Ovis aries: one gene and its partner. Each later gene encodes a partner of the first gene's protein in a complex. Links are inferred from orthologs where the notes say so. Each region holds a gene or a part of one and is shown on either strand. Other genes may lie near its edges.

The links.
Region 2: RGS9 (region 1) and RGS9BP share a complex: the UniProt entries of both Homo sapiens proteins name them as parts of the RGS9-1-Gbeta5 complex. The link is inferred for Ovis aries from reciprocal best matches to the Homo sapiens genes RGS9 and RGS9BP.

Annotation. Positions count from the first base shown.
Region 1 is NC_056064.1:61,170,475-61,175,193, forward strand, and holds part of RGS9 (regulator of G-protein signaling 9), read left to right. Parts: intron 1-1,931; coding exon 1,932-2,028; intron 2,029-3,998; coding exon 3,999-4,049; intron 4,050-4,719. UniProt on the Homo sapiens protein: Inhibits signal transduction by increasing the GTPase activity of G protein alpha subunits thereby driving them into their inactive GDP-bound form. Binds to GNAT1. Involved in phototransduction; key element in the recovery phase of visual transduction.
Region 2 is NC_056067.1:42,655,902-42,660,720, reverse strand, and holds the start of RGS9BP (regulator of G-protein signaling 9-binding protein), read right to left. Parts: upstream 3,132-4,819; 5' UTR 2,798-3,131; coding exon 2,084-2,797; 3' UTR 1-2,083. UniProt on the Homo sapiens protein: Regulator of G protein-coupled receptor (GPCR) signaling in phototransduction. Participates in the recovery phase of visual transduction via its interaction with RGS9-1 isoform.

The DNA.
Region 1 (4,719 bases):
GTGATGTGACCCGGGGGTGATGTGACCCGGTGTCTGCTGGCCCCTGGCGGGCAGGCTCCTTTGCGGGAGCCTCGTCCCGTGTTGGCGGACAACCCCATGGTGCTGTAGACTTGCCCGCTGTCCGTGCAGAACAGGGCTGATGATTATTCCAGGAAAATTCCAGCCTGCGATCTTGCCCCATGAGTGACAGCTCCCTCCTGCAGGAGCGGTGTGGGCGTGGGAGGTGGGACGCGGTTCCCGCTCCTGGTGACCCTGGAGTAGTCACGCTCAGCACGTGGCCTCCAACGCCCCCATCCCGCCCCCAGCTCGGGGTCACCCGGCGTCAGGCGAGGCCCGGGTCCCCCTCCATCCTCTTGCTGCCCAGGATGGTGGGGGGGCTGAGTCTGGGGGGCTGGAGGGGGGCTGACGTCTGGGGTGCGGGTGGCTGTCCCCCCGGGTCTCTGGGCCCCCAGGCACAGGGAGGAGCAGGGGGGAGTTGGCAGCAGTTGGAGCTGAAAGGAGGGGCCTCTCACCCGCTGAGGACCTGGGGCGCGGCTCAGACAGCCCCATCTGTGATGGGCACCGGGCCTTCCTGCCGGAGGCAGAGCTGGAACCCGGGTCTGCGCGGCTGTGCTGGGCCACGACGGCAGAGGCAGGGCCCGGAGTGCACGCCCTGGCCGAGGTGTGCGCAGTGGTCCCCAGGTGGCTCTCTGCGGGGCCTGCGGGGCCGTCCCCTGCTGGTGTCCTCACGTGGCGCCCCCTCCCCCTGCCCAGTGTGTGTGTCAGTCGCGGCAGACTCTTTGCAACCCCTTTGCTCCCCAAGGAGCCCACCGGGCTCCTCTGCCCATGGGGTTTCCCAGGCAAGAATACAGGAGGGGATCTCCCTGACCCAGGGATTGAACCTGTGTTTCCTGAGCTTCTCCTGCATTGCAGGCGGATTTGTTACCGCCTGAGCCACCAGGAAAGCTCTGTGTGTGTCTGAGTCCTTACTTCGTCTCTTCAGTGGACACCAGCCAGGCCCGCCCTAATGACCTCCTTTTAACTTGGCCACCTTTGCAAAGACCCTGTCTCCGGATCCAGTCACATTCTGAGGTCCTGGGGGCCAGGACCTCAACCTATGAATCTGAGGGGTGGGCACCATAAGAGAGTCTCTCGGAGATGGGACCACCAGCCAGAGTCCTGTGGTTTCCTCCCTGGAGAGACCCCGGGGAGACTTCCCTGGGGAACGTCTGAGGACGGTGGACCCAAACCCTGAATGTTCTTGAGGTCCCTTTGCTGCCCCCCCCCACCGCCAGCTCCACTTTCTGAGAAGTGTGACACCTGTCAGGGAGAAATCTGACTCCCCTCATCGTGTTTTTAAAATAACTCTCATTATTCCTCCTCTGAAGGTTATTTTCAAATCCTTTGTAACTAGATTTCTCTCTCTCTCTCTTTTTTTTTTTTTTTTTTGATGCAAAGAGAAGGAGTCAACCCCTCTGACTTTCTGCTGGAGAAACTCAGGTTTCTAACTCATAACTTGGGTTTCTATTTCTTCTCCAATGTATGGGGGCTTGGACTCCATGAAATGCTGCTATTTCATCTCATACACGTTTTGGGATAAACGTGGATTTTCTTCTGGGAGCTAACGTGGGAAATGGGGCCCCGGGCTCTCACATCCGAATGGCAGGCAGCCTTGGGTGGAGCAGGCACGTCCCAGGCTCACGGGCAGGCATGAGTCCAGAAGTGGTGCTTCCTGCAGCCCCAGGCCCCTCGGTCCCCACCCGTGTCCAAGAGAAGCACCCCCTCCACCCCGCTCCCAGGGCGTCTCCTCGCTCCCCTCTGCTGTGAGCCTCTTGGCCGGCCCAGCGGCCTGAGACGGCAGTGGGCTCCTGGTTGTAAGCGCCCCATGTTCCTCTTGCCGTCTTTTGCTCCCTTGGTGCCCCTCAGCTGACCCGGGCAGTTCTGTTTTGCAGATCGAGGCCCTTGTGAAGGACATGCAGGACCCAGACACAGGGGTCAGGGTGCAGAACCAGAAGGTCACGGTCGTCAGCATCCCTCACGCCATGACGGGTAAGGTGTCTGGCAGTTTGGTCTTGGCCTGAGCAGACCACACACAGGTGTTGGCACACTAGAGCCCACAGGCCAGAAGCGGCCCCTGTTCTGTATTTGCGAATAAAGTTTTATTGGAACAGATCCACATCCCCATTCACGTATTGTCGGTGGCTGCTTCTGCACTGCGGTGGCAGAGTTAACACCCACACACCCACACAGACACACACACCCACACACGAGTCCAGCGTCCAGCCTCTCATCCCTTGTCTAGGCGTGTGAGCCACTGTCCTTCCTGGCACCTGGGGCCCCCTCGGTTCCCGGATTTGGGACGCTGCCCACTCAGCCACGGTCCCCCTCGTTTGCCCTACGTGGTGAATCCCAGCGGCAGTCGGAGCCTCTGTTGTGCGGCATTGGCGCTGCTCAAAGCAGACTGGCTCAGCGCCGCTGCCCCCTCGGAGGGCAGGTGGCCGGGGCTTAGGGAACGATGGGGCTGACGTGCGAGCTGAGATCAGCACAGACCACGCGGTGGACGCCCCGGGAACCCCCTAATCCCATCTGATCTATTTCAGGAAGCGCCCAAGTGGATGCGAAAAGCCCTCGGCTCCTTGGCGGGGAGTGCTAACCCGTCTGCTGCCAGCTGGGGGTGGGGGGCTCCCCTTCTTGGTGTGCACACCTCTGTGTAGGGACGTGGGGTGGACCGTCTAATAACACACCCAGTCCTGGGATTCTAAGTTGGATTTTCAGTGAAGACGTCTGCTTTTGAATAAGCAAGGGGCTGAATAAAGGCGAGAGCGACGGGCCCCTCTGGGAGCCGTCACCGTGGGCACGTGGACGTGGGGAGTGGGTGGCTGGATGTGTGTGCCTTCAGGACGTGTGTAGGAAGGGGCGGGTACAGGCTGTGCCCCCTCAGCCGTGCTGTGCCCCCCACCCCAGGGCACAGGCAGTGGAGTTCAGACCCTGGCTCCCCCCGTGGTGTGTTTCGTGGGCCAGTTTCCACTCAGGCAGGGCACCCAGCTCAGCCCTTGGGAAGCAGGCTGGGGTCGCTAGAAAGAGTGGTGGTTGGCATTTGCTCGATGGCGTTGGAGCTGGGGTGCATCTTTGTTGTGAGACGACGTTGCCGCCTCCGACGAGGAGCGTGTCCTGCCGAGGGGCCGGGGCCTGGCTGAGCCGGAGACGCACAGCTTCCTTGAGGGCCCGCTTCCATTCTCGGCCGCTGGTGGGGCTCGGCCTGTCCTGGCCCGTGGATCAGCGTGAATCCTTGGGAGGGCTCCCCAGGCCCTGATCCTGTCCCCGCCGGCCTCCCATCTGCGTTGCCCCCGGGCCAGCCCTCAGATGTGCAGGGCGCAAGGGCAGATGGAGCCCACACTCCACGGTCTGAAGTTGCAACTGAGACTACAGGGTGTTCCTAAGAAAGTGTCTCATCCTTCTGCTTTGACAGAAGGCTTTATGATGACTGAAAAGCCAGGCTTGGATGTAGCACTGGCTGTCAGAGTTTTGCAGGGGAACGTAGTGGCGTCTGAGACCCAGCACCCCAACCCTGGCGCACTCCCTTCCCCTCCCATCCGGGTTCTCATTACTGCTGGGACTGAGCTCCGTCCAGGGCTCCATGGACAGCTTGTTTGGGGCTGTTTTTTTTTTTTCCAATGGTCAAGACTTAGTGTGTTTACCTCCCTCTTGATGAATGACAGTCCAGGCACCCATTATTGTATCAATAAGGAAAGAGAGTCAGTACCTCGGAGAGGTGAAGGCTGAGGGGGTGGCAGGGACATGGGGTGAAAGTCTGGCTGGACTCACATTGTGGGAGGCCCTGAATCATGGGCTGGGGGTTCGGACTGGACATAGTTGGGGGGTGGGGTTCAGGGAGGTCCCTGGAGGATCTGAGCAGCAGGACGAGATCACGGCTGGATAGGGAGGCGGCCAGTTGGGCAGCAGCGTGTGGGTAGGTGTCGGGGAGGCTCTGACGTTGGCCAGACCCTTCTGCTTTGCAGGAAGTGACGTCCTCCAGTGGCTCAGCCAGCGCCTGTGGATCTCCGGACTGGGTGAGAGCTCCTTCTGTCCTCAGCCCGACCAAGGGCTGCTGTGGCATCACCCCGGGGCATATCTGGGTGCGGCTGGGTGGGGCGCAGCCTGTGTCTCTGAGAAACTGACCTTTTAGTTGGCGAGATGAAGCCTTTGTGAGTAAAACAGCTAGACTGGAAGGGGTGATAACTGGGGGGACACAGCTGTTTTTTCATACAAAATACCGAGAGTGTGTGAATCACAGGCTTCCCTGGTGGCTCAGATGGTAAGAGTCTGCCTGCAAGGCGAGAGGCCCAAGTTTGATTACTGGGTCAGGAAGATCCCCTGAAGCAGGGAATGGCAACCCACTCCATTCTTGGCTGGAAGAATCCCATGGACAGGGGAGCCTGGAGGGCCACAGTCCATGGGGTTGCAAAGAGTCAGACACGACTGAAGTGACTAACGTGACCACTGCTACTACTAAGTCGCAGGATTAACTGGGGAGGAGTCAGTCAAGAAGGACTTCCTGGAGGGGGTCATGCACACGTGTATTTGGTCTGGAAGGAGATGATGCCTGTGAAGTGTGGAGGGGAGCTCGGAGGGTCTGGACCCAGGGTGCAGGCAGAGTCCAGCTTGGGGCAGAAGTCGACTGCCCCTTCCTGCCTCTCACGGGGTAAAGAAGGGTCTGTTGGTCAGAGACACTCTGACCTG
Region 2 (4,819 bases), on another chromosome or scaffold:
TGATCTTAGCCAAAAGGCTGAGAAGTGATGACTACACAGCTTCTAATGGGTTGTTTCTATAACAGATTCTGATGAATCATGAACCAAAACACCTTAAAAGAACAAAGAGTCACAATTTTATAGATCAAAGAATATATTTAGGGCTTGGTTTTTAGGGATATTTTCCAACAGTGGGTCACAATATGCCCCAGCCTGAGAGACGTGAGGTGACAAGAGTCCACGCTATATCCCAGGTGGATGAGAAAGAGGGGAGGTAGAAAACTTCCTATGTCATTTCTGAAGGTATCCTGGGAAGGCAGGTGTAAAAAGAAATTGACATGGCCCAATTCAGATTCACCCAGACTGGATGAAGCAGGAGGAGTTCCTTTTATTAGTTATTGTTGCAGAACTCTTAATCAGCTTAAGATTTTGTGGATCTTTTAAAACCATCTTTACAGAAACACACAAACAGGTCCCTGTGGTTTAACTATCTGTGTGTTGAGGAGTGGGACTGGGTGAGCGAGGCTGGGAGGGTGGTCTGTAGGACTGAGCTCTTGGGACTGATATTTACTTTTGAACCTTGGCCCTTCAAACTGCCCTGTGAAACACTACCCATTCCCTCCTCCCAGTCCCCTTTCTCCCTTCTGGGGTAAAAAAGAGAGAGAAAAAAAATTCTTTTCACTTTTCAGCCAAATCAGTCTCTGGGTTTTATTCCAATTTATCTATAGAGTTAAATGCATCTTGTTTTCTCAGCCTTTCTTCCCCAGCAACGCTCTCTCTGAACCACAGGTGGGGAGTTGGTGGCACCACTCAGGCAAATTCCAGCCTGGGACCTAGGGTGTTTTCCACATTTCCTTATTTATTGCCACAAAAAGGCTAGGGCCACTTAACTTCTGTCATCTACACCTGTGGTTCCAATAGTTTATGCTATGATCTCCTGCCTTGAAGACAGATTTTCAAAATAAATGAGATGTTTGTTTAGCAATCTAAGTATTTAAGTAAAGACATCATGTAATGATTCATTGGCAACTGTATGAACTCGTGGCCAAATGTCTTTTACAAAAAATCAGCTTTGATAGTACACAATGTGGTCATATGATTTTTTTAAACAGAAGATTTTTTTTTAAAAAAAGCTCCTAAATTTTGAAGTTAAAGCTGTTATGTTCTAACCTAGTCTCAGGGCTGATTGGCTCAAAACCTCTGAGCCCAGTGATGTCACTTGACCCTCTCAGGGGGTGTCCAGGTCAGGGAGTTGTGCAGCTCCCTCCAAAGCCAGCTCTCCTACTGGCTAGCAAGCAAATTCCAAGGGATAGTTAGGATTAAGGGCTCCAAAGAGGATTCCCCAGCCCTCCCCCAAAGGAGGATCAGAAACTCTGGTCTAGTTCTGGAACAAAAATAAGCCCCAGTCAAGGAGAAAGTGCTTGTATGGATAGACTGCGTCCCTTCCCAAAGCTTGTGTCCCACCCAGGGAGTCATTTTCAGTAGGCAAGTAGGTGCAGAAGTGTGTAATCTTGCCCTATAAGAACACACATTCTCCTAAGCTTAGGCCCCAAAGGATGAAGGTAATAAAAACTGTTCACATCTTATTACCATTTGCTTTCTTGTTCCAGGAAACAAAAGCAACACACACAAACACAAAACAGCGCCCTCACCGCACACTTCATTTCACCCCATCCTCTTTCCAAACTGTCTCTCTCTGAGAATGGGAATCACCCGCAGGGGTGGGGGCACCAAGCTCAGCCTCAGCGGAAACACGCCCCAGCAGCACAGGCGGTAACGTATTAACTGGGAAGAATCTCAGGTCACTGAGAACGGTTTTCTATTAATAGGGGATAAAGCTCTTGCATACATTAGCGATAATGCCCTGGTGGCCCGCGCAAAATTAACTCCTCCCGGGCCAGCAAGAGGTAAGCCACGTTCTGCCCAGGCAGATGTGTGCTTGAAACACGCGTACAAACATACACGTTACACACACTGTGCTTTAGAACCGTTCCCCTTAAACATGCCAGACCCCATTCCCATCCCTAGTCCAGGGGGTTGCAGACGTTTTCCAGAGGTGTCTCCGGAGAGGGGTTGGTGGAGGCGGGGGCCCGTCGGGCACGGGTCAGCTCAGCTTTGCCACGCACACCGCCAAGGCCACAGCCGCCAGCAGCACTGCGCTGAAGATGGTGGCGGCCTTGGCCTTGCTCAGGTCGCAGGGCCCAGTGCGCTGTTCTACCGACACGCCGCCCACCGAGGAGACGCCGGCACTGGCGCTGGACAGGAGCTCGGCACCTGCCGCCTGCCGGGCCTGCACCGTCCAGCGGGGCACGTTGACCTTCATCTCCATATCCTGGATCATTTCGCCCACCTGAAGGATCTCCCGCTCCAGCTGGTGCAGGTCTTCCACGTCGAAGTCGCGATGCGCCTCGTGCCGCAGGCTGCGGGCGCTCAGGGCGCGCGCCGCTACGCCGGTCGCGCCGCCTTCCACCCCTGTGCGCACCAGCGGCCGGCGCGGCGCCTGCAGCGGAAACTCAGTGCTCAGGGCCAGTGCACGCCGCATGTCGGCTTCCAACAGGTCCAGGCAGCCGGAGAAGGCCACCCAGAGGCGCTCGAATTCGGCGCGCTCCTCGGCGCCCAGGCTCCGGTCTCGCAACGGGGCTGTCAGCCGGACGCGGATGGCCACCGCCAGCTCCTGCGCCTTCTGGCGCGTCTTCTGCAGCTCCTCTCGCAGGTTCTGGGAGTCTGCGGAGCCTCCGATGGTCAGCACCAGGTGGTGGTAGCATGCGGTCGCCTTATTAAGCGCGTCCAGTAGCGCTTTGCACTCCTCCTTCGCCATGGCGCTGCTCTCCCGCGCAGCCCGGCCGCCTGCGCCCCTCTCACCTTCACCCACTCAGCGCAGCAGGATGCAGCCAGCCTCGACGGCGTTCCTCGGCCGGACGGCCCGAGCACTCCTCATGGCCCGAGAGGAGCTTGGCGCTGCCGCTGCTCAGGGTCCACGACAGGCGCTTCCGCTGACCGGGTTTGCCATTCCCTCATCCATCCACCCCAGGTGCGCTCCTAGTCACACGCCGAATCTCTGCGCAGCCCTCGCCTCCACGGTAGCACCTGCGAAGCCCGTGTTGAGGTCCCCATCCTCCTCCCTTGCCGTCGCCAGGGCTAGCGGGCCGCTGAGCCGCTCGCTCCGGGCGCCTTAAGGGCAGAGGTGTCGGGTTTCTTAGGATCCGCCCACCCCCGCCCTTCCTCGCTGAGCGCTCCCATCCCATGGACCAGGGATAGGCGGGGCCCTGCGCGGGGAGGTCACGTGCAGGTCCCCCCTCTCCCCCTCCTCTGCACCCCATTACAGTCTGGAATATTAACGCTCAGCAGACCCAACCCTCCTCTGTTTTTGAGAAGGGGAAACTGAGGCTCAGATTTAAAAGGGAGGAGGAGGATCAAGCTCACGCCACGTGCATGTAAGTGATGGGGCTACAATCCAGGGGCTCTGACTCTTAGACCCAGCCACCGACGGAAGTAGTATGCTTCGTAGGACTGGACACCCCTGTCCTCCAAACCGAGTAGTAAAGGGCAATCTGCGGGGCGGGAAGGCTGCCGTATCTCCCCATCCTAGTCCAGCCCGCTTTCCAGCAACAGAGCTTGGACCCCACCCCTTGTGTCAGATGTGTTTTTCGGCCCCGCCCCCTCCCGTTCCAGGCAGGCGCAGTCGATGGCTCTGGGCAGGTCCAGTCTGAAAAGGAAGTGTTGCTTGCCGCCTGAGCCCCACCCCTGGCTGGGCGGGCTCAATGATTGCTCTGCGCACGCGTCACTCTGAATAAAGACAGCTTCTCATTGGACTGACCAGAGTCCTGGGGGTGCGACTCCGCCCAACGGGGGTGGGCGGTGCAGCAGTTCTGCCGCGTTGGGGTGGTGGGCCCTGAGGTCTCTACCGAGGGGCCGGGAGGTATCGGCGCCACTCCAGGAAGGGCGGGGAGTGAAACTATGTAGCCTTTTAAGTAAGTGTCTTCCCTCCTGTCTCCTCCCGCGCCTCCCTTCCCTCGGGACGGCTGCGCCTCTGGGCTCAGAGGCCGGGCGGGGCCTCAGAGAGGAGAAGGGGGAGGGGCTCTTTCCTCGGCCGGCGCCCCAAGCTGGGCCGGCTGTCCCCGGGAGGCCCCCGAGGCCTGGGCCCATCGCGGAGTGGACAGCCGCGCCCGCGCTCTCCAGCTCCAGTCCGCAGCCTGGCTCGCTGTGCCCCTCGTGTGTGTTTGCGGGTCGAGGGGTGGGGTTGGCGAAGAGTGCGCGCTCTGACCCCCGCGGCATCTGTACAGGTTAGCAGTCTGGGATCCCAGGAACTCAGACTTGGGGGCAATAATAGTCAGGGCCGTCGCTCACGGGCTGGGTGGCTTCTGCGGTTTAAGGGAGGCCTGGCGGAGCGGGTGGAGGGGGGTGGGGCTGTGGATGGGAGGCTGTGGATAGGGGTGCGGATCCTCGAGCCGGGCTGTCGTGGTCCCCGTGGTGATGGAGGCGCTGGGGGGAGAGGAGGGAATCCCTGCTAGCCTGCCTCTCATGGGGCGGGGGTCTCCTCTTTCAGCTGGGTTAAGATTACCCCGGGAAAACTATGAAGCACCAAGGGGTGTTCTGGATTCTGAGTCTGTTCAGTTCTTTTCGTTGAAAATGGACTGCCCATTGGCGCGTGAGCAAGGCCATGCGGCTCTGGCCGCCCCTGGAGGTGCTGGGGACGTGGGCGCTTGCGATCGTGCAGGGTCTTGTTTGAGGATTTAGGACATTCAGGAAATGAGGCGCAGAAGAAACTGTAGGGGACTCCTAGTTTGCCTTGGGGCTGGAATTTTACAAGTTTTGTGGGTTTCCGGAAGAGAGACCCCTA